Astyanax mexicanus: one gene and its partner. The main gene of each other region encodes a partner of the protein of the gene in region 2 in a complex. Links are inferred from orthologs where the notes say so. Each region holds a gene or a part of one and is shown on either strand. Other genes may lie near its edges.

What was found.
Region 1: the proteins of kiaa0895l (region 2) and tubulin alpha-1B chain are in contact, whole or in part, in a cryo-EM structure (PDB 7Z6S), measured with the Homo sapiens proteins. The link is inferred for Astyanax mexicanus from reciprocal best matches to the Homo sapiens genes MATCAP1 and TUBA1B. Residues at the interface, in NP_001035805.1 of Homo sapiens: Lys219, Cys220, Trp223, Val226, Arg227, Gly237, Glu238, Val239, Val240, Val241, Gln242, Leu243, Met253, Met254, Val255, Glu256, Asn257, Ser258, Arg259, Pro260, Thr261; in NP_006073.2 of Homo sapiens: Asp345, Trp346, Arg422, Glu423, Ala426, Ala427, Glu429, Lys430, Asp431, Glu433, Glu434, Val435, Gly436, Val437, Asp438, Ser439, Val440, Glu441.

The regions. Positions count from the first base shown.
Region 1 is NC_064431.1:14,467,229-14,479,790, reverse strand, and holds the start of tubulin alpha-1B chain, read right to left. Parts: upstream 4,535-12,562; 5' UTR 4,400-4,534; coding exon 4,397-4,399; intron 1,660-4,396; coding exon 1,437-1,659; intron 1,328-1,436; coding exon 1,179-1,327; intron 1,105-1,178; coding exon 124-1,104; 3' UTR 1-123. Other genes in the region: tubulin alpha-1A chain, read left to right, coding at 6,313-6,315, 8,109-8,331, 8,438-8,586, 8,675-9,655; tubulin alpha-1C chain, read left to right, coding at 11,907-11,909. UniProt on the Homo sapiens protein: Tubulin is the major constituent of microtubules, protein filaments consisting of alpha- and beta-tubulin heterodimers. Microtubules grow by the addition of GTP-tubulin dimers to the microtubule end, where a stabilizing cap forms.
Region 2 is NC_064423.1:32,457,123-32,468,667, reverse strand, and holds the start of kiaa0895l (uncharacterized protein KIAA0895-like), read right to left. Parts: upstream 5,771-11,545; 5' UTR 5,543-5,770; intron 236-5,542; 5' UTR 160-235; coding exon 1-159. Other genes in the region: NAD(P)H dehydrogenase [quinone] 1, read right to left, coding at 9,718-10,068, 11,053-11,154, 11,449-11,545. UniProt on the Homo sapiens protein: Tyrosine carboxypeptidase that removes the C-terminal tyrosine residue of alpha-tubulin, thereby regulating microtubule dynamics and function. Also able to remove the C-terminal phenylalanine residue of alpha-tubulin TUBA8.

The DNA of each region.
Region 1 (12,562 bases), on a different chromosome or scaffold from region 2:
TAAACTGAACATTTATAAGAGAAAGCAGGACTGTGTGAGAATGCTCTCATACTACTGGATCAGTGCTGAAAATCTCCTGATGTGTGATAGCATACTAGTGACTGGGTTGGGAGAACATCTTGTTTAATACTCCTCTCCCTCCTCCTCTCCCTCACCCTCAATGGAATCAACACCCACCTCCTCATAATCCTTCTCCAGAGCCGCCATATCCTCTCTGGCCTCAGAGAACTCTCCCTCCTCCATACCCTCTCCTACGTACCAGTGCACGAAGGCACGCTTGGCGTACATCAGGTCGAACTTGTGGTCGAGCCTGGCCCAGGCCTCTGCGATAGCTGTGGTGTTGCTAAGCATGCACACGGCTCTCTGGACTTTGGCCAGGTCACCGCCGGGCACCACAGTGGGGGGCTGGTAGTTGATACCGACCTTGAAACCAGTTGGGCACCAGTCCACGAACTGGATGGTACGCTTGGTCTTGATGGTGGCGATGGCGGCGTTGACGTCTTTGGGTACGACGTCACCACGGTACAGCAGGCAGCAGGCCATGTACTTGCCGTGACGTGGGTCACATTTCACCATCTGATTTGCAGGCTCAAAGCAAGCATTGGTGATCTCTGCCACTGAGAGCTGCTCGTGGTAAGCTTTCTCAGCGGAGATGACTGGGGCGTAGGTGGCCAGAGGGAAGTGGATACGAGGGTAGGGCACCAAGTTGGTCTGGAACTCGGTCAGATCAACATTGAGGGCACCATCGAATCGGAGGGAGGCGGTGATGGAGGACACAATCTGGCTGATCAGCCTGTTGAGGTTGGTGTAGGTAGGACGCTCGATATCGAGGTTCCTACGACAGATGTCGTAGATGGCCTCATTGTCCACCATGAAAGCACAGTCGGAGTGCTCGAGGGTGGTGTGGGTGGTCAGGATGGAGTTGTAGGGCTCCACCACAGCGGTGGACACCTGTGGAGCTGGGTAGATGGAGAACTCCAGCTTGGACTTCTTGCCGTAGTCGACAGAAAGGCGCTCCATCAGCAAGGAGGTGAAACCAGAACCGGTACCACCTCCAAAGCTGTGGAACACCAGGAAGCCCTGGAGACCAGTGCACTGGTCAGCCTAGAAAAGATACAGAATAGATTTGTTAATCTAAGTAATCAGATCATAAACCTTATCAAACATAAAGTCCTCACCAGTTTGCGGATCCTGTCGAGAACCAGGTCGATGATTTCCTTGCCGATGGTGTAATGCCCACGAGCGTAGTTGTTGGCAGCATCTTCCTTTCCAGTGATGAGCTGCTCAGGGTGGAACAGCTGGCGGTAAGTGCCGGTACGAACCTCGTCTGAAGGACAATAGAAACAAGTTAATGATGATAAAACATCAGATCTGATCTAACAGCACTAAACAGACAGGTGATTTAATACAGTCATCATAAATGGAGAATTGCTTACCAATCACAGTGGGCTCCAGATCCACGAACACTGCTCTGGGGACGTGCTTGCCAGCTCCTGTTTCGCTGAAAAAGGTGTTGAAGGAGTCGTCCCCTCCGCCGATGGTCTTGTCACTGGGCATCTGACCGTCCGGCTGAATGCCATGCTCAAGGCAGTACAGCTCCCAGCAGGCATTGCCAATCTGGACGCCAGCCTGGCCAACGTGGATGGAGATACACTCACGCTGTTGGAAGAAAAAGAACCAGTTATTCAAGTCATACATAAAGACAAACATCAATCTTAACTGTCCTAACAGATCATGCAAATAAAGACCATGATGTGCTTAAGATTACAGATAAAGCCCTAGTCAGACCTGCAAATCTACATTAAATTATGTTTTTAATGCAAAGTAATACAGCCACTCCAGTAGTACAGACTACAGAACTTTTACATTAATCATATATAAAGGCGCAAGGCTGTAGCAGCATCCAGTTCAGAACAGTTTAAGATGGCATTAGCAAAAACTCAAGCTATGGCCAGACAGGCCAATGCCCAGGGGCTCTGTCCACAACTGTAATCATACACAAATCTATCTATATTTGGCTACTTATATTTCTAGTGCTTCACTACTTAGATTAATGAGGCTTTTAAAGTCACTTGTGCCCACAGGCTTGGCAAGACCTCGATCCGTCCCTGGCTTGGCGTAAATGTTGGCACAGCAAGTGAACTAGCAGCGAGGATCACAGTGTGTGCCGCAGAAGGGCGGGGGTAGTGCAAATCACGCCATGTCCCGTCACTCACCCTTGCTTTCTTCCATTCGACTACGCCCTCATTTCCATTTTCCAGCCTAGTCTGTCTGAAAAAATCCCATCCCAAAATCTTTTTACATAGTAGCTTTGAAATTGCTTTTTCTTTGAATAATTATTTGATAAATGTATTTATTCATTTAGATTTATGCATTATGCATTCTATCTATGCTTAGAACACACCAAATACACTACAGAGCAGTACACTATTTGTGTAAAAATTAATATAAAGTATTTTATCTAGGTGAAAAATAAATATTTATAGATATATAATGGGCTACATAGCAAAACATGTATGTGACAAAACATGTATAGGAGGATTCTTTTTGCCTGGAGACCACTTACAGCTCTGAAAAAAAAAACAAGAGACCACTTCAGTTTCTGAATACGTTTCTCTGATTTTGTTATTTATAGGTATATGTTTGAGTAAAATGAACATTGTTGTTTTATTCTATAAAATGCGGACAGCATTTCTCCCAAATTCCAAATAAAACTAATGTCATTTAGAGCCTTTATTTGCAGAAAATTAGAAATGGCTGAAATAACCAAAAAAAAAATTCAGACCTCAATGCAAAAATAACCCGGGTTTTTAATCACAGTTTTCAAGCATCTTGGCATGCTCTCCCCCACCAGTCTTACACACTGCTTTTGGATAAATTCAAGCAGTTAAGCTTGGTTTGACGGCTGTGATCATCCATCTTCCTCTTGATTATATTCCAAAGGCTTTTAATTTGGTAAAATCAAAGAAACTCGTCATTTTTAAGTGGTCTCTTATTTTTTTCCATATATATGGTATATATGGTGCACTATGTAGGGATCCTTCCTCGGTCTCAGACTCCATCCAGCTGCTGCCAAGGGATTTGCACAGTATGCCCGTTGCCTAGCAACAGGGTTTCTCTTTCAGATTCATTCATTCATTCGTTTCGGACTAAAATACTGAAAGTAGCAACTAATAAACCCTGCAGTTGCTATATAAACACGAATATTCGACGATAATTGGAGGTATGTGGAGGTTTTGACTAAGTTTGATTGTGGTTAAAGCTGTGAGGCTATAAGCCAGTAATTGTCTTTGAGGGGCGGGTGTCCCCATCCCCCCGCACTGGTCTCGGCGGGGAGCCTGTGACATTCCCTCTCCTCACTGTTCTGAACAGACACTGAGAGAGAACCACAAATGCTAATCGGCTTTTCTGACTAACCTTCTGTCTTACAGGCTCTAGGGAAGCCACTGCTCCGAGAAATGCATTTACATTTCAAAAGAATTGAGTTCTGACCCCGATAAACTCTTTCACGATTCAAATAAAGGAGGTTTGATAGTGTTCCACCTTAAATAGTGGTACAGCAATGGCATTTTGGTGCCAGCCTGCATGTTAGATACATGTAGGAATTAAGGTGGAACGGGCAATTCGTCGCATCCGAGAATCTATTTAGCTAGATTAGCTATGTAATTAGCGCTGTATAGAAATGCGGTTGCTAGATCATATTTAACATATGTGAGAGCTAATATTTCTAACTAGTTAGCTTTTATCCATTAACCACTCTAAAAAGATCATGTAATAATTCCATCAAAAACAACGTTTATTCGATGTTCTTTGCTATCAGGGCTGATATAGCTATACACCTATAACTATAACGTAATGTACAGGTCAAATTACACTACTGAAAATATATAAATGTTATTTCATAGCTTTAGCCACATAAAACTTACGACATTCAAATATATATATATATATTTTAAAAACGAAGAGGAAAAAGCACGGACGCGCTCCGCCCACGTCTTACAGACGTCTAAATTGACCCTATTCAAAACTAGCGCGATAAAATGAGCGAATACAATATAGAACATTTTGACTTATTTGTCTTTTCAAACCAGTAACAGCTCGTGTAATAAAGTTACACTGAGTAAATCGCCCAGAGAAGACAGGGAACATCATATGCCTAACGTTAACCTAACCTAACTAGATAATATAAGAATAAGCAGCTTATATAAATAATAATCCATTAAAACAAACCGATTAATAAAAACATATAGCTCACTAGGTGCGTGTAAAAATAGGATTTAATAAATTCAGATTATATTATGTCATTTCAGACATGTCTGTCTCTACATCATACAAACACTTTTATATATATATACAATTAATATCATATAAAATATATATATATATGTGTACTTACCATTTTGAGATGTTTAGATGGTCAGCTCACACAAAGGGAAATTGGGTTTCTTGATGCGGTTTGGTTACCTTCGTCGACGGCTAAGAGTCGATGCAGTAACTGCTTGCTGTCGGTGTGGCGCACCACTTTATAAAGGCACGGGCCCGAGGGGGGCTGGGCTCGTGCACACGAGGCATTGAGATGGCAGACAGTGGAATTTCATTGTAGTTCTGCACAATGCATGCTGAAGGAATGCACTAATTTGCACAGATTTGAACATTTACATTTGTGCATGCTTAATATTGGTCCCTAACTGCATTTAATATGAAGACTGGTATATGCCCCTAGTTTTCTACACAGTGCATGTAGCAAGAATAAATGAATACGTATAGTCAAGCAAATTTACATTTTTGCACACTCAATATGGTCATAAATAGCATTTTTTACACAGACAGTGAGATTGTACTGTAATTCAGTTTGTTTCCACCACATTGCATATTGCAAGAATGCACAAACATGTATAATCAAACAAATTTCATTCATGTGTGCTCAAGACTGATTTTTATACAGAATGGGGGATTTCCATGTATCTCTGCAAATTAAGCATATTTGTAATATGTGCATGCTCAAAAATGTTACCTGCATTCATCTGTTGTTATATAAAGCTCTGCAAATACAAATGTAGGATGCACATTCTGCTTATGCTATAAAGCAGCTATCAGTCCAGGTTTTTTCTTTTTTTTTACTACTGAAGATCATCTTTAATTAATAACCAGTCATATGGGCACATAAAGGTTTACATTATGATAATAATATGAAAAAATATAGATAATTAGTTACACCTGTTAATACATTTATAACTGGGATTTTGAGTGGAATAAAAAGGCACCAGACAGGCGGGTCCATTATTGATGAGGGATGCTGATCACGTGGCGCACTGCAGATGGTGACGTCATTGTGCTGCAGCAAAAACGACCAGACAAAGAAGGGCGGTGGCCTGGAGGCCACACACACCACATACACATATAGCAAATAATAATAATAAAAGAAATCTGATATAATATAATATAATATAACATATATACAATATATATAATAACGCTACAATGCTAAATTATGCAAAATTAATAGTGCAGACTAGTTATAAATTCACTTATCCTGATGGTGTAACTGGCACTAGCACTGCAGTGCAAAAAACTGTTCCTGGATGCCCTGAATGACTGCTATCATTAAGTGGGTGTACAGTGACTATGATGCAGTTTTCCATACAAGAAGATGCATACAATATTATTTTAACTAACATAAAATCACAGGGTGGAGACTGATAATATCATATTGCTCAGCTTATTTAAGGTGGACTGTCAAATATTTAGAAACCTATTAATGCCCCCAATTAAAAATGAATTATGTCTTAAATATAAGATATGATTGTTGTGAAAAATACAATAACAAATACAAGAAATTTTAAATAAAAATATAGATTTATTTCATGTTTTTTAAATGTAATGTATGACAAATGTAATTATAATTACTTTATAATTAAGACAAACATTTAGCATGTTAATTTGTACATATACTAATACACACCGTGGTACAATCATAGTTGTATAAACCTGATTATTACAGTAAATCTCTAATACCCTACTACTAATATTCGCTGCGCCAAATACTGGATCAATGCTCCATTCACCCACCCGTATTCCGATATGCCCCGCCTTACCGCGCTGCAATTGGCTAGTAGATCACACCAACGCGGAGTCCGCTATAACCATTGGTCAATCCCAGTCAGCACAGGAGGGCGTGGCTCTCCGGAAAACGGGTGGAGAAATCCCTGCGCGCATGCTCAGTAAGAGCGCCGCCTCTTTACTCTGCTTCCCCCGTTGTCTGGACCGCGTCCATCTCTCCAGCGTCAGCATCATCTCCAGAAACAGGGCAAAATGGTGAGATATCAACTTTATTTCTGCATAAGATTAAAAATACCTTCAATATTGTGATTTTAGACGTTTACACGTGGAAATAAACGTTTAGGTTTAGACTAAAGATGAGTTTAGAAAAATGCTGATTCTTTTAAAGATCAGCATCAGGGTGGGTCCAGCACCATGCTTCTTCTGCCTTATTGTTCCCAGACACAAAGAGATTTAACACAACTAGAGAAATGTAGAAAAAAAACAATGATTAAAAATTAAATTGACTTAATGACAGAATATATTTAGTCTTGTAGCTACTTGTGTTTGGCTATTAATAATGCCAGATTTAGAAATTATAAACTTATAATATTATTATAGAAGCCTCAAGTAAACCAAGCATATCAGACTTAATTGAAAATATATTGGTACATAGAATTTTGGAGCATAATTTGGACAGAAATATACAGACACATATTTCAAAGACTGCAATAATGCTGAATCATGCAAAATGTGCAGACTGTTCAGTAATTTACTAATACACTTGTCTAGCAGGTTTGACAGTGTAACTGGTATTGCAATGCCAAAAACTGCCCATTTCTTTAATGATAAAAAAAAAGTCTATAGCCACTATTTTGCAATATTCCATGCATATGGATCATTATTATTTTAGACAAACATTTAAGGTGGTCTCTTAACAATTAGTCAGAAACCTGCATATAGTTAATATAGTCACAAATTATAAATACTTAAAATGCTTTAAGTATTTGTGAATACAATTCTTATTACGAAGTAATACACACATTGTTTATGTTAAATATGCTGGACGCTGTTTATTTCAATTTATACTGATTTACACATGTACAGTGATACAAATACATAGGCCTAGTTTCTACAGCAAATCTACTGTAAGGATACACATTTTTATTGAAGCACGATTAATATTGCCAATATTTCAAACCTATACTTGATGATGGATCTGTTGTACGCTGGAAAAGGACCTAGCAATACTGGCTATGCATACTACTACAATTGACTGGTTTTGCTACTTTAAAATCAATTTTTTATCTAATTTATATTATTTTGATTATTTTTAAAGTTATAAAGTTCAACAGTGCATTCCTAAAACACACTCCACTTGCCATTCTAATAGGGGTGCACAATATATCAGTTTAGCAATGATTGACATTGTTTTTTTTTCCATAGCTTAACATGCATTACCATTATATCTGAATCAACATCATTAATTTTACTCCAGTTTATATTACACACAGTTCATTATTAATATTATGGCATTATTATTTGAACAGTCATTCTTGGCTAAATCTAATACGTTTCACAATATATATCACAGACCAGCAAAATATCGCAAAATATACATATAACATAGTCTAGCATTTAATTGAAAAAGGTGTGCACAATAACGTTGAGTGAATTAATTTGTGTAGTTTCCCTTATGAGTATTGCATAAAGCATGCATTTAAATAGCAGCTCCTTTTCCACATGCTCTGTGCAATTACACATTCTCACCAGAGAGGCCACTAAATCCCCAAAGCTTCGAAACTTACAGACTGTCACTTTAAAACCAAATATCGGAGCCTCAGGGAACACCTCTTTACCCCTGACTGTCAACTATTGGTAACATGAATTCTTATGTAAAATAAAGCCATATAGTAATTGTGGTCAATCTTGAGGTTAGCAAAATATTTGAAGTCATGCTTGTATTTTGTATGATAAGTCGATAATGTAACTATCGTGACAGACCTATATATATCTTTTTCATGTGTGATTTTAATTGAGTGACTTCAATGGCATTTTTCTTCCAACAGCGTGAGTGTATCTCCATCCATGTTGGACAGGCTGGCGTCCAGATTGGCAATGCCTGCTGGGAGCTGTACTGCCTTGAGCATGGCATTCAGCCGGATGGTCAGATGCCCAGTGACAAGACCATCGGTGGCGGGGACGACTCCTTCAACACCTTTTTCAGCGAGACAGGAGCTGGCAAGCACGTCCCCAGAGCAGTGTTTGTAGATCTGGAGCCCACTGTGATTGGTAAGCAGTTCCCCAGTTATGATGACTGTATTTCATCACCTGCCAGTTTAGTACCATCAGCTTAGATCTGATGCTTCATCATCATCTTGGTCCTCTTGTCTCTCAGACGAGGTTCGCACCGGCACTTACCGCCAGCTGTTCCACCCTGAGCAGCTCATCACTGGAAAAGAAGATGCTGCCAACAACTACGCTCGTGGCCATTACACCATTGGCAAGGAAATCATCGACCTGGTTCTCGACAGGATCCGCAAACTGGTGAGGACTTTATGTTAGATTTATTGATTACCCTAATCTGAGTCTGACAATTTAACAATTTAACAAATCTATTCTGTATCTCTTCTAGGCTGACCAGTGCACTGGTCTCCAGGGCTTCCTGGTGTTCCACAGTTTTGGAGGTGGTACCGGCTCTGGTTTCACCTCCTTGCTGATGGAGCGCCTCTCCGTGGACTACGGCAAGAAGTCCAAACTGGAGTTCTCCATCTACCCAGCTCCTCAGGTGTCCACCGCTGTGGTGGAGCCCTACAACTCCATCCTGACCACCCACACCACCCTCGAGCACTCCGACTGTGCTTTCATGGTGGACAATGAGGCCATCTACGACATCTGCCGTAGGAACCTCGATATCGAGCGTCCTACCTACACCAACCTCAATAGGCTTATCGGTCAAATCGTGTCCTCCATCACAGCCTCTCTCCGATTCGATGGTGCCCTCAATGTTGATCTGACTGAGTTCCAGACCAACTTGGTGCCCTACCCTCGTATCCACTTCCCTCTGGCCACCTATGCCCCAGTCATCTCTGCTGAGAAGGCTTACCACGAGCAGCTCTCAGTGGCAGAGATCACCAATGCTTGCTTTGAGCCTGCAAATCAGATGGTGAAATGTGACCCACGTCACGGCAAGTACATGGCCTGCTGCCTGCTGTACCGTGGTGACGTCGTACCCAAAGACGTCAACGCCGCCATTGCCACCATCAAGACCAAGCGTTCCATCCAATTCGTGGACTGGTGCCCAACTGGTTTCAAGGTTGGTATCAACTACCAGCCCCCCACTGTGGTCCCTGGCGGTGACCTGGCCAAAGTCCAAAGAGCCGTGTGCATGCTTAGCAACACCACAGCTATCGCAGAGGCCTGGGCCAGGCTCGACCACAAGTTCGACCTGATGTACGCCAAGCGTGCCTTTGTGCACTGGTACGTAGGAGAGGGTATGGAGGAGGGAGAGTTCTCTGAGGCCAGAGAGGATATGGCGGCTCTGGAGAAGGATTATGAGGAGGTTGGCGTTGATTCCGTAGAAGGCGAGGGAGAGGAGGAGGGAGAGGAGTACTAAACGTCCTAAAATTGTTCCTGTATGTCTCTCCACATTGTGTTAGAAAGAACCGAGTAGGGCCTATTCTTGGGACTGACTGCTGCTGCCATTGTCACAGCATGGTGGACAGCATATCAGGCATGAACAGTTCTGGTGGTTTAGGTTCAGTGTAGTCCAAAACTCCTTAAGCAGTATGTCTATGAAAGTCATTGTTATTTCTCTGGCATTGTGTAATCTGTTATTTGCTGTCAAAACCTGAATAAAACCATTCCTAATAAATTTTGTCTTGTGCTATTTTAACCTATTGTTTACTGGAGTTCAATAATGACTTGCCATCTGCAGTTAGGAGTTACACTATGGCTCCCTCTATTGGCATGGAGTAATTTGTAATTACACAGTGTGTTCCTCTAACACCTACCAATAGTCAGTAAAACAATTGTTTACCTGTTGCTGCCCAAATGAATGACTTTGTTGAGTACAGTTGTAAAAAGGCTACAACAGTAAAGCAGTGTTTCACCTTTTATGATATTTTAGCATCCATATATTATATATATATATATATATATATATATATATATATATATATATATATATATATATATATATATATATATATATATATCCATATATATCCATAATTGTTCTATAATAATGTTAAAGTAATCTGTAATGCTTGTTGATAATTTTAAAAAGTGATCATGGATAATTAGACATATAAAATTTACTATGGCTGTGTCTGAAAATCAAAAAATGCTGACTTGCCACCCACACTTTCTCACTTAGAAGTCAGTGTCCTGGAGTCAAATAGGAGGCTCTTTATACTGACATATATATGACATATATATAGCTCACTGCTATATATGTGTTTATTCAAGATTGAAGTGTTTCATTGTCATATGCACAGCAGAAACAAGTAGTTACACTGTACAATGTAATTCTTACTTTGCAGTTTCTCCAAATACAGACATATTTAAATAACAATATAAAAGTAAAAAAAAAACATGAATAGGTATAATAGGTACGATGTGTTCTGATTTTCAGGAATGTTAACATGTGTTCAATAAAACCATACAAACATATATTTTTTGTGTGGTATTAGTTTAAGCATACTGTGTTTGTCTATTGTTGTGATCAGAACACATTTAATTACCAATTTATGCAGAAATCCAAGTAATCCCAATGGGTTCACATGGAGTATAGTGCATCCCAAATTTACCAACATTAACTTTTTAATATAACATTATAGTCATTATGGCTTTTAGAAAAATGTGTTTTGATGAGGGAGGTAGTGCACTATAGGCTCCTTTTGTCCTAAATGTCCTCCTCTGTTTTCTCTCTCTTCTTGTCTCTCTTTCTATTTCGCTCAACTTTTCTCATTTACACTTTTCTTTCTCTCCTTACTTTCTCTCACTCTGTCCCTTTTTCTCTTTCCCTCTAATTTTCTCTCTCTGTTTCTCTCTACTATTTCCTCTCACTTTCTCCCCACCTCTTTATTTTTCTCTATCACTTTTTATTTTCATTTTACTTTCTAACTTTTTCTCTTTCTTTCTACTTGTCTCTCTCTTTCTCTCTATGTTTCTCTCTCACTCTCCATCCTCTCTCTATTTCTCCCTATCTCTCTCTATCTCTCTACGTTTCTATCTCACTCTCTCTTTTTCTTGCTCTGTACTCATGTCTCTCTTTCTCTCTACAATTGTCTCTCACTCTCTCCACACTTTTCTATACCTCTCAATCTCTCTTTATGTTTCTCTCTAACTCTAATTTTTTCTCTTTCTTTCTACTTGTCTCTCTCTTTTTTCTCTCTACTTTTCTCCCTCTCTCCTCCACCTATCTCTCTATTTTTCTCTCTTTACTTTTCTCTTTCGTTATACTTTTCTCTCTCTCTTTCTCTCTACTTTTCTCTCTCATTTTCTCCCTCTCTCTCTCTCTCTCTCTCTCTCTCTTTCTCTTTATTTACTTTTCTCTTTCTTTCTCTCTCTCACGTATATAGTCTTGAGTAATATATTAACTGTAGATAATAATTTGTAGTAAATGTACTAATTTAAATAACAGTTCTTCTATCAGATAAATGAACTTCTCGTCTTGTGACCGGTCCCCGCGCGGGTGGGCGGGGCTTGTCTGACACCAGTATAAATACCAGCGTTTCTGAGGAAGTTCAAACCATCACCTCACAACGGATTCCTAACGGTCTTAGCGTGAGAGCTGTTTTACGAAGTTTTAACGAAGTTTTTACGCAGTAAAAGAAGTTGTAGTTCACTCCTTCCACATCAGTATGGTAAGTTTAAATGAAGTTTACTCCATTTATGTCATTATAATTTTACTATATACTGGTGAAACACAGTTTATGCTAAAGTTTGTACAGCTTCTTATCAGTATTTTAAAATTCCACCTTAAATATTGCAGCGCCATAATGGAACTACTGCACTATTTAAGGTGGAATTGAAAACTCTGAGAAGAAGCTGAACAAACTAGAAGCTTAAATGGTTTAATATATTTTAAAACTGTTTTTTCTAGTTAACTGAAGCTTGACTCTACCACAGGCTGTTGTTTACTGGTCATTTCCCCTTTTTATGCTAGGAATTGCAAAATTGACAAGTTTTGTGTAATTATGAGTCTCACAGAAAACAGTCTTCCCCTACATCTGTCTACTCTGAACCTAAAACAGGGATTTAAATATGTCTCCACTGCATTTATTTCTATTACAGAAGCAAAAATAACCAGTGATATTATGTGATGCATTGTACCCATAGAAAAAATAAATATTTTATTTATATCATTCTAAAATATATTTCAAGCAATTGCAGAACATAGGCTTTTTATTACTGATATAAGCAATTCCACTATTTTAAAGTGCAGGGAAATTTCAATTATTCAGTACATTGTGATTGGAATGTAAAAATATTAATTAATATATATATATATTTTATT
Region 2 (11,545 bases):
CAGTCTCTCCCTCTGGGTGATGCTGCTGGTTCTGGCTCTGGCCCGAACTGGTTTGGGTTTCTCTGGTTTAGGTTCTGCCTCTGGAACATCTAGGCCAGTAGCAGCCATGCCCTCCCCATTAGCCCGCTCCATACAGTCCTCCCCTAGATCCAGCACCATCGCAGCAAGCCCACCTCAGTCAAACCCTGCTGCAAACATGCCCGCCAGAGAACAGATGCTGTGCCAGTTTTGAAATCTGATGGGAAAAAAATGACACACAGGATACATTAGAACTGATACCAACTTTTTTTAATATTTATCCTAGTATCCTAGTAGGCCAATTACCCAACCCAGTAATGCCCCAACACCAGGAAGGTCAGCCACAAGCTGCTGCAGATGCCACATTGATGAGTAGCATCACAGCAATAACGCTCGGAGGAAAGCGCAGCGACTCAGTTCTGATACACCAGCTCACAGAAGCCATGTGCTGATCAATGCCACCCATTGTAGTGAGAGTGCCATCTACCCCCCCAGAGAGAGCAAAGACAATTGTGCTCTCTCAGGGCTCTGGCAGCTGATGCCAAACTACATGACCAGGATTTGAACCGGCGATCTCCTAATCATGGTGGCAGCGCTTAGCCCGCATAAGGCATAAACCAGCATAAAGCCTAAACTGTGGTTAAATGAAAAGGGAATTTTGTGCACCAATATGTCATACTTAAAGTAATGGAAAACTGGGTATTAAGTGTTAAAGAGTTAACTCAGGTAATGGCTTAGGAACACCCAAACCTATGAGGTGTTATCTTGTGAGTGACGTCACGGAAAGTCAACGTGAATTATAAGAGTGAGTCAGCTAAAAGAGTTTGGTCTCAAGACTCATGTGCTTCTATGCGCTGTTCTGATGCTCCCTTGTTGCGATGTCACAATACGAAAACCTGCATAGAACCACCCTGGCGCCACCCTCACCTGTCTCCCCTCACCAAAGCAGACTTTGTCTGATGGAGGGATCCTAGCATTTTCAAATAAAGATTTTTTTTCTACTATCACAGTTAAGCACAAGCTAGCTTGTTCCTGTTTTGCCATTAGGGTTGCAACGGTATGAGATTTTCACGGTATGATAACCGTCTCGGAAAATACCGCGGTATCACGGTTATCACGGTATCACAGTTTGTTACATATATTATTAAACTGACCCTTAAAGAAATTACAACAAAGTTTTTTTGTTCAATTAACTATTTATTGTAGAAACTACACCATCAGGTGAAGGAAACCATGTTTTCCCACTACTCTTAAAGGGGACATGAAACACTTCAAGTATTTCGTTTAATTCACAAGATGTATTTTCACTCTAACAAATTTTATAAGTTTAACAGTTGTCAGTGAAGCGGAATTAAAATAATAAGCAATCTAAATGTCATTTTTTTAAGTAAGGGCAGCGCCATCTTGTCCCAGCGCTGAAAGTGACGTCACGAGGTTGGTTCTCGCACGCCTCACTACTATGATCTATGAGAATACTGTAATTTAGCTCCTCAATAAATAATAAAATCCAAACCAAAACTCAATGCAGAGCGGGGGGGCACTTTTGTATTGCCCCTGTGTGTAGTAATACTGGGAGTAGTGAATTTTAATAGGGTGAGGAATGAGAAATATTTACTTTCACTTTCATACCTTCAGCGGGGCTCGCAGCGCTGAAGCGTGAGAATCCTCCGGTTAGCTGCTAGGGGTTAGTGGCGAGCACTTTCTAGACCAGGACTATGTGAAGGAGAGGGGTTTGAGTCAGGAGCATTAGAGCCGGATAAATAAGCTGAAGTCCGAGGCTTTTTTCCACCGTTTTTTATTTTTCCTCTGATCAGCTGGAATGTACAGACCGTCCGACTGATGGTAAAGTTACTATGAGAGCAGCAGCTGTGAGCCGCACCAGCCAAACAACACGCCCACCCAGCAGAGCAGCGAGAGGTACCGTTACCGAAAATCTAGATAAAATGACAATTTAAAGATAACATAGCTAGCGTTAGCTACTTAGCTAGCTATCTTATTCTAGCTAGCCAACGCTAGCTAACTAGCTAACACTAACTAGATGAAGCTAAGTAACCCAGTAAGCTTTCTAACTTCTAAACTGAACGGTTTATCAACCAAACAGCGCCTGGATGTTTCAATATCCACTTAAATCATGTTCGTTTCATTCAGTCTTAATAGACTCTGGACTTTGCATGTTAAATAGCTAAATGTATATAAAATAGCTGGTTAACTGGATGGTAGTACCTGCTGTGGACGCGCTGCAGGGTTCTGCACGGCTCCACGTAGAGAGAGAATAAACACTCCCAAAACGTCTCGCTCTCAGAAAAGCATCTGAAAAGTTCTGCTCAGGTTTATACAGGAAAGATCTCTGAGCAAATGCTCCATGTTAGCCTAGTTCAGCTTCGTCTTCATCCATAATCTCGACAAACAATAAGCTCTTTTCCTCTAGTTATATGCCTGGGATCTTAAACCAACCAACCTCGTGACGTCACCAGTGCTGCACGGGCAACATGGCGGCGCCCTAGCTCAAACATAACAAACATAAATATATTATAATTTAGTGTGTAAACATTTTATATAAAAAAATCCCCCCCAAGTAAATTCCATTATATTTAATACCTTAGAAAACTTGTACAAACTGAAATGTTTCATGTCCCCTTTAAGGGCATTAAGAGTGTATATATATATAAAAAAAGTTGGTATATAACCAGATACTGCAGAAAGAGGGGATTTATTTCTGACATGATCCTCACAATAGAGATTTCTATTTTAAGGCTTTCACACCTTAAAACCTTCAACATATGAAAAACAGGCACGTCAGAATTTGAAAATTAACGCATGTAAATGAATGGCGTCTTTCACATCCAGTCCGGCCAGGACCTTTACACGGACACGTGAATCCATCGTAGCACGCACTTCACGCCTGTACCTGCGTGCCCAAATTTCGGATAACTAAATAAATTACCGCATGGGTTGTGCACGACTACAAAGAAGTTTTATTTAGGTTATTTAGGTAAAATTATAAACTGAACACATACTTTGCGCTGCACAGCGGGGTGGTGTTCTCGGAGATGGGAGAACAGGTTTGATGTATTTCCTCCTTTAGCTGTGACTACGGCCACATTGATTACAAGCTTGTTGATTACAAGATTACAAGTCTGTTTTCAGGCTGTTTGAATGAGCGAAATATGATCAGAATTATGTTAATTAACACTAACATAGAAGCATAGAACTATTATTTAATAAAAATGATTTTTAAGAACAGCTAAACACAGTGCGGAGAAGTTCACGTGCGAGAGAGAGAGACACAGAGAGAGAGAGAGAGAGAGAGATTTGCGTGTTCTGATGTGAGCTACTCACAGGTAAAGGTTCTCTTTTATCTCCTCGTGCTCATTTTAGTCCAATTCATAATTCTGCAGTTTCTCAGTGTTTTCTGTCGTATTTTGCGGCTAGCGCGAGCGCTTACAACTAACACCGCGGACCGCGAGGTGCAGCCGCGCTGCCGCTGTTATGCCGAATCCGACTCCCTGCTCAATCCGACTCCCGCTTCGCGGACAGAATCGGCACAACACCTCCCGCTGCAGAACTGCGGGAGTGAAAACAGCGCTTATAAATAGGTTAGTTAAGTTTCACTTTCAGTTTTCGTTATTTGGTTCGTTTTCATTAACAATAATAATTGGTTACTTAGCATTAACATTGTGATTATCACACCAGAGCTTTATTTAAAAATAAAATATATAATTAAAAAACAGATGCCTACATCTCAGACTATTTTCTGGAGCCCAACCCGACCCGGCCCGAGGAATGTGGTGGGAAATCTCGGCCCGAACGGACCTGATTTCGGGTCGGTCCTCGGGTCAGGTCTGGTTCGGGCAGAGAATCTAGGCTCTAGTCTGATGCACTTTCTGCCATTCTCACCGCTGTGTGCTGAGTAGCTGAAGCGGAGCAGAGTTGCGCATGCGCGGGTGACTTTCTCCGCTGGCTTGCGTTTTACCGGTAATAAGCAAACACACACGGTATGATAACCGTGCATTTTAATACCACGGTATACCGTGAAACCGGTTACCGCTGCAACCCTATTTGCCATTAAGCACAAGTTACCACTAACATACAGTAAACGCTCACCGTATACATGGCGTGGTCAGCTAAAGCTCATTTGCATAAAAGTGACAGGGCCCCTAAATGCCACGTTCTGAAAGGGACTAAAACTGGTAAGAATAGAGCCGGTGAGTTAGGATTAATTATAATGTAATGTAAAGTCTACAACCAAACATGAGCATGAAGAACCAGCATGAAAAACATTTTTAAAATGTTGCTTTCATTTCTAAACCAAAACATGTGGACGAGTTTCTCCACATGGGCTACTATTGTGTACTATTTTGTACAGAACTGTGTGAGTTTTCTGTAGGAAAAAGGACACGGTACAGTAGTACAGTGAATAGTAAAGTATAAATCAGTATGAATCAGTGTATGGTCTATAGTAATATATATATATATATATATAGTACAATATAAATCAGTGTATAGTGTTAATCAGTGTATAACCAGCAAGTATAAATGAGTAAATTGTACAGTATAAATCAGTGTGTAGTATATAAATAGAGTTTAATTAGTGTTTAATCAGTGTGTAGTGTAAATCTGTGTATAGTATGATATCAATCAGTGTAGTGTATAATCAGTATAGTGTAAATGGGTGTAAATGCAGTAAAAACAGTGTATAATTAGTGTATAATCAGTGTATAGTGTGAATTAGTTTATAGTGCAGTGTAAATCAGTGTACAACAGTGCATAGACAGCATATAAACAGTGTGCAGTGTACATTTAGTGTATATCCGTGTGTAGTGCAGTCTATAATCAGTGTAATTCAGTGTACAGTCTGTGTATGAGTGTACAACAGTGTATAAACAGTGTACAATGTATAGTCAGTACAAATCAGTGTATAGCATAAATCAGTGTACAGTCTGGATATGAGTGCAGAACAATGTATAAACAGTGTACAATGTATAATCAGTACAAATCAGTGTATAGCATAAATCAGTGTACAGTCTGGATATGACTGTATAACAGTGTATAAACAGTGTATAAACGGTGTACAATGTCTAATCAGTACAAATCAGTGTATAGTGTAAATCAGTGTACAGTCTGGATATGAGTGTATAACAGTGTATAAACAGTGTAGTGTATTATAAGTACAAATCATTGTATAGTGCAAATCAGTGTACAGTCTGGATATGAGTGTATAACAGTGTATAAACAGTGTACAATGTATAATCAGTACAAATCAGCGTATAGTGTAAATTAGTGTATAGTGTATAATCAGTGTATATTGTATAGTACAGTGTATAATCAGTGTAAAATCAGTGTATAATCAATGTAAATTAGCGTATAATGAGTGTATAATACAGTATAAATCAGTGTACAGTGTATAATCAGTGTAAATGAGTATATAGTGTATATTTAGTGTAAATCAGTGTAAATGAGTGTATAGTACAGAATAAATCAGTGTAAATGAGAGTACAGTAGAGTAAGGCAGTACAGTACTCACCATGCAGGGCTGTGTTTTGGGGTTTTCCTGCTGAAGCTGAAGGACAGACAGGGCTCTTTGTGTAGCTGCGGTTCGCAGCCCGCGGTTCCCCGGGTACAGAGCGGTACAGAGCGGTATAGCGGGGCGGGGATAGCGGTATAGCGGGTAGCGGATCTGCCGGGGGTTGGGAGGAGCGCTCCGCTCAGCGCGCCGGTGACTGCGCTGGAACAAATGACGCGCTGGCGCAGCCATGACACGCGGCGTAACCACGTTCCCGTGCGTGATCACGCACAGACATCCCCGCCCAGAACCCTCCTTTTCCCCCCCAACCCCAATCCATACCTCCCCATCCCTCATGCCCCCATCCTCACATTCTCCCTCTATCCCCTGCTCACTCCCCCATCTCTCTACTGTCATATCTGATAACTATCGCTAGAGGGAGCCCAAAATACATGGGAGTGAATGGAGCTAATCAGCTACAAACATAAATTAAAAATAGTAATTAACGTTTTAACCAGGATTTTACTTTACCGTGGAAAGTAAAGTATTTTATATATGATTTATATACGTTTTAAAGCTTTAAAACTCTATGTATAAGCCAATTTAAACTCTGTGTGCTCTGGCTGTAACTTTAGCATCAGCTCACCATACAGTCTCACAGCTCACAGTAGCAGTAATGCAGCACCTTTACTGCCTAAAACCCGTTTACTAGAGAAAAAGTAAAATATATATTTTGGTGTTAATGTCATATTTAGCTAAATATACCATTTAGCTTTATATAATTCAAACAATCAAGTGATCAAATGGATATTTAATTTAGCTCCATTCACCCCATTCATTTCCGACTCGCTCGCGGGCTCCCTCTAGCGGTTTCATATAAAGGGGGGAATATAAAGTGGGCAGTCTCTTTATTAACGGGCTCTGGTGGTCTCTCAGCTCCTGTGCTGTGATTGGCTGTGGAAGGTGTTTGTTACCTGTTACAAACATATCTTTGACATAGTGGCCATAAAATGCAATTTTCGCCTGTTTTAATGGTCCCTCTGTTCAGCTTAGAATATTAAAAAACTGTATCACTGTATCACTGTACACTGTATCCTGGTTTATGGCTCATGTGAAAGTAAATACTTGGTTTTAAATTCCATTCAAACACTGTCTAACAATACATTTCTCAACATTTACTCTGAATCAACACACATTTTCTAAATATAATTAAGTAATAACAAATACAATGTCCACAATGCTGCCTGGTTAAGTTTAATTATTATTTTTGATTGGTAAATAATTTTCTAATTGTATTTATACATTTAAATTTAAATTAAGGCATTGACATTTTTCATTAAAGTGAGTATTAATTTTTAATAGGCTATAAAGCTGGCGGAATATTTTCTTTAACTTATATATTTAACTTTATATTTAACTATTATATGATTATATGATTTAACTTTAACAATTTATGGTTTTGTTTTGTTGTGTTTCTGATATATATTTTGTTTCTGTGTACTTAATTTAAATATTTAACCTCAAATAGTTTTCCCCATTTTTATTTTTTTTTTATTTTTGTGCACCAAGCAATATTGTAAAACTTTATATTTAACAGTATTATATTATTTCATTTGAAGAATAGAAAGCTGTCAGACAATGTTTCCCATGAGAGGATGGTAAGCAGAGGGTAGATAGCCCTGTACTCATGAATAATTAAGTGCCAGGAGCCAATCAGACACCTCAACAGCACAAATTATAAATGAAGTGCAGAGTGAGGTTGAATATAGATGTTTAATTAAGTTTGCCTTTGTGTTACCCAATACATTACTTTAAAATTCTCTACATATTTAAATAGTTCAATATTTTGTTAAATAGCTAAATAAACATTTAAATGCCTAAATTGTGAAAAATATATCTAAAACTCGTTAGACTGCTTTTGTATAAAACAACTATGCTGTAAACACAAAAGTGTCAGAATAGGATATATTCAAAGTTATTGTCATTTTTTAGAGTACAGTTTCAGAGCCAATTAAATGCAATTAGCATCTTACCTGAAGTGCAATATACAATGATATTTACATATATGGTTTTCAGCTATTTAAGGGCTAATCAGCTTTTAATCGAACTTTGATTATATAACTGATCATGTTGAATCAAAAAGCATTCCCTCTCTGACAGGAATTTCAGAAAGTTATTTTGCTTTAGGAAATGTATAACAGTAGACCAGCTAGTCAGTAGACAAGCTAATCAGCTATTATGTTGTTCTCTCTCATTTACACTCTTCTACTGGAGTAATAAAAGGAATAAAAAATCTGCAGTATGTAAGAAAGCTGCATGTACCACCAGCCACCAGCAGAGGTCATGGACGCTGCAGTGGAAGAGCTGGTGGATCTGGGCCAAACAAAACTCCAAATCCCAGAATCCCCAGCGATAATCAGCACTGACCAGGCTCAGCTGTGGGACACAGTATGAAACCCCCAGTCAAACCCTAGTTCTCTGTCGCACATTTGTAGAGGGGTGACCAGTAACCGTGGGTAACAGAAAAAACAGAATATATTAAAAAAAGGAAAGAGAAAAAAGAAGAGAAAAAATACGAAAGAAAAGATTAAGAAAACAAAAGAAAGATAAACTATCAGGGCGAGTCTACTAAAGAGCTGGCCAATGCAAATAAAATATGAAAAGACAGACAGTTGTTTTGTGTTGATAAAGAGCTGAACTGCACAACTTTAAGTTGAGCTCACATGTTTAAAAGCCAGCAGTAAGCTCTGGAAAAAATAGAGATTTATATGTTTATGTTTGAGTGAAATGAACATTGTTGTTTTATTCTATAAAATAAGGACAACATTTCTTCCATATTCCAAATAAAAATATTGTAATTTAAAGCATTTATTTGCAAAAAACAAGAAATGGCTGAATCAACAGATAAGAGCGTTCAGACCTCAATTAATGCAAAGAAAACATTTTAATGCATCTTAGCATGTTCTCCTCCACCAGTCTTACACACTGCTTTTGAATAACTGTCACTCCTGGTGCAAAAAGTCAAGCAGTTCAGCTTGGTTTAATGGCGTGTGATCATTCATCTTGATTGTATTCCAGAGGTTTTCAATTAGGTAAAATCAAAGAAACTTATCATTGTTAAGTGGCCCTTTATTTTTTTCCAGAGCTTTATTTCTGTTAAGTGTAAAGTTCCAGTATTGTAGTTGTAGTTTTACGGCTTTCTTTTGTTTTAACACATAATCTTTGGCATTTCATTTGTTTGGCTTTCCCACCATTTTTAAGGCCCTATTTTCCACTGGTTTAAATCCCATCTGGGGCAGCACGAGCACTCCTTTACCATTAATAAGTAATAAATAAGTAACTGTATCTTTCTACTTGAACAATAGAAACAGACCTGAATATGACATAAAACCTGTGATCGCCTGAGCAGTTAGTAAACAGGGGGTAGATAGCCCTCTACACATGAATAATTAAGTGCAGGTTGCCATTAAGACACCTCAGCAGCACAAATAATGAATGAAGTGCAGAGTGAGGTCAGTGTAGATGTTTAATTAGGTTTGTCTTCAACTTTGAAAAATGGAAGGCACATTTACATAAAGCCATTGCATTAAAGAAATTGGACAGTTCTAGCCAGATAATGCTCTATAGTGCACTATAATCCAACCACAATCAGATTCACTCCATCCGGATGGAGAGATTGATATGGTTTTTATGGATTTTTGATAAAAAATCACAATGAAAACAGGCTGAAGTGAAATAGGAGTAGCAAGGCTATTTTTAAAATGTAAGGAGTAGAAGTTAAAGTCCACTAAGGTATTATTAATAATCTAGTAATTACTCTAATAAAGTTTAGATAACCAATATTTCTACTTAAGTAAGGAAACCAAAGCTTTATTACTTGACACCTCTGCAGAGGTAACATGATCAATTTATATACTGCTGTTCTATGACTTTTGGATAGTCAGTGTGTTTTAAAGTCATTATGTTTAGAAGATCTAAAAATTACATTGAACATTGAATATCACATCAAATCATTTATTTCTTTATTATCAGATCAGTGAGTAATGAACACAAATCTACATGATGCAAAACAAAACATTGTTGCAAAAAACAAACATATATATGGGTAATCACAACATAAAAGCACTACTGTTTTTAGTAATTAGCTCAAATTTATCTTTAAAAAATTACATTCAGTATCAGAAGTCGTCAGTGACTCAGACTTTCTTTTGTGAGTGTTTCGCTGATGCTGAGGGATCACATGCAGAAGAAGCCTTGGTCTGGTTGTCTGGGGGGAGGGGTTTGCCGAGGTGCTGCCCGGTGGTGAGGCCGTATGATTTAGAACGATACTCTTCCTTCACCTCAGGCCTCAGTTTAAACCCTGCTTGGAGGCTCAGGTCAAACAGCTTACCAGAAGCAAAGGCCACTTTCTTTTCCTCCAGCAGACCCTTCAGCCTCGCCTGCCAGGACTCCAGCATGGCTGCTCTGTCAGAGGGGGAGGCACGAGCAGGACCCCAGAAGATCTGAGGAGCCAGAACCTGAAACCCACAAAAGTGCAGAACTCCATTCTGCAAGATATGATTGTATTATTATTAAAATAATAGAAGAAAGAGAAATAAATAATATATCTTACATTTAAATTGACTCTTATTTGATTGGAACCAAATTGAAAACTTCTGGAAAATAATCAAGAGGAAGATGGATGATCACAAGACATAAAACCAAGCTGAACTGCTTGAATTTTTGCACCAGGAGTGAGCAGCATAAAGTTATCCAAAAGCATAAAGTGTGTAAGACTGGTGGAGGAGAACATGCCAAGATGCATGAAAACTATGATTAAAAACCAGGGTTATTCCACCAAATATTAATTTCTGAAATTTCTGTTTTGTATGGTCAACATTTTAGTAAATAATATACATCCATCCCTTAATTTCAGGTCTTCAATACATCTAGGACAAAAGTCAGGACCAAGCAATTAAGGACTATAACAATGTAAAATAACTAAATAATGAGGTAATATCAACATTTGTCTGAAATCATGATTTAGTATAAAAGCAGTATCCATGGGGCGCCGAGTGGTCCTGTAGTCTAAAGCACTGCCACTATGATCAGGAGATTACTGGTCCGAATCCCGGTCATGCAGCTTGCCATCAGCTGCAAGAGCCCTGAAAGAGCACAACTGGCCTTGCTCTCTCTGAGTGGCTATGAGTTTATACAGAGAATTTTAAAACAAAGAATACAGCAACTGTTAGCCACCTTAAGAATGTCATCTGAACCATTTTATTGCTTAGTAACCTCAGTGCCAAAAGTGTTGTGAGAAGGGATGGCAACATTACAAAGTTATAAATGTTTTACCAGCCCAATGTTTTTTTGGAATGTTTTGCAGGCCTGAAATGCAGGAATGGATGTCTATTAACAAGCAAAATTAAGTTAAGCAGACAAAACATGACATTTCTTGGTTTATAATGTCTGCAATGAACGCATTTTCCTTTTTGAGCCAACATTTTCTGTACATTTCTGTTGTTCTGTACTTATACAGTATAGGTTCTCACCTGTAAGGGCCATAGCATCACATTGACGTCTCCATTGATACCATCAGGTTCGTACTTGCATTCCGGTGCTCCAGTTGTGAATGAAAGCAAGGCTTTTTTATCCTACAGTGTGAATTAAGCAAAGTCTGGTTTTAACCAAATTTTTGTACAGTTTTACAATCTGACTTCATGATTATTTTGAAGCTTAATCGTTCTAAAAGGTCACCAACACTGATTCTGGAGCTTTGCCTTAATGCATATATCCATAATAGTATTTACTGCCTTCAGATGTATTCGATTAACTGAATTATTGTTTTATTTGTGCTGCAAGATAACAGATCTCCAGGCCCGAGAACAGGAGAGCACTGCTCTACAGTAGACAAATAATGATTGGCTGAGAAATGGAACAGCACGTACCTTACACAAGCCATTATCATACGTGTTCTGCAGAGTGTAGGCGAAGCCCCGGGTTAGCACTCGCTCTATCCAGCCTTTCATTATAGCAGGAAATGAG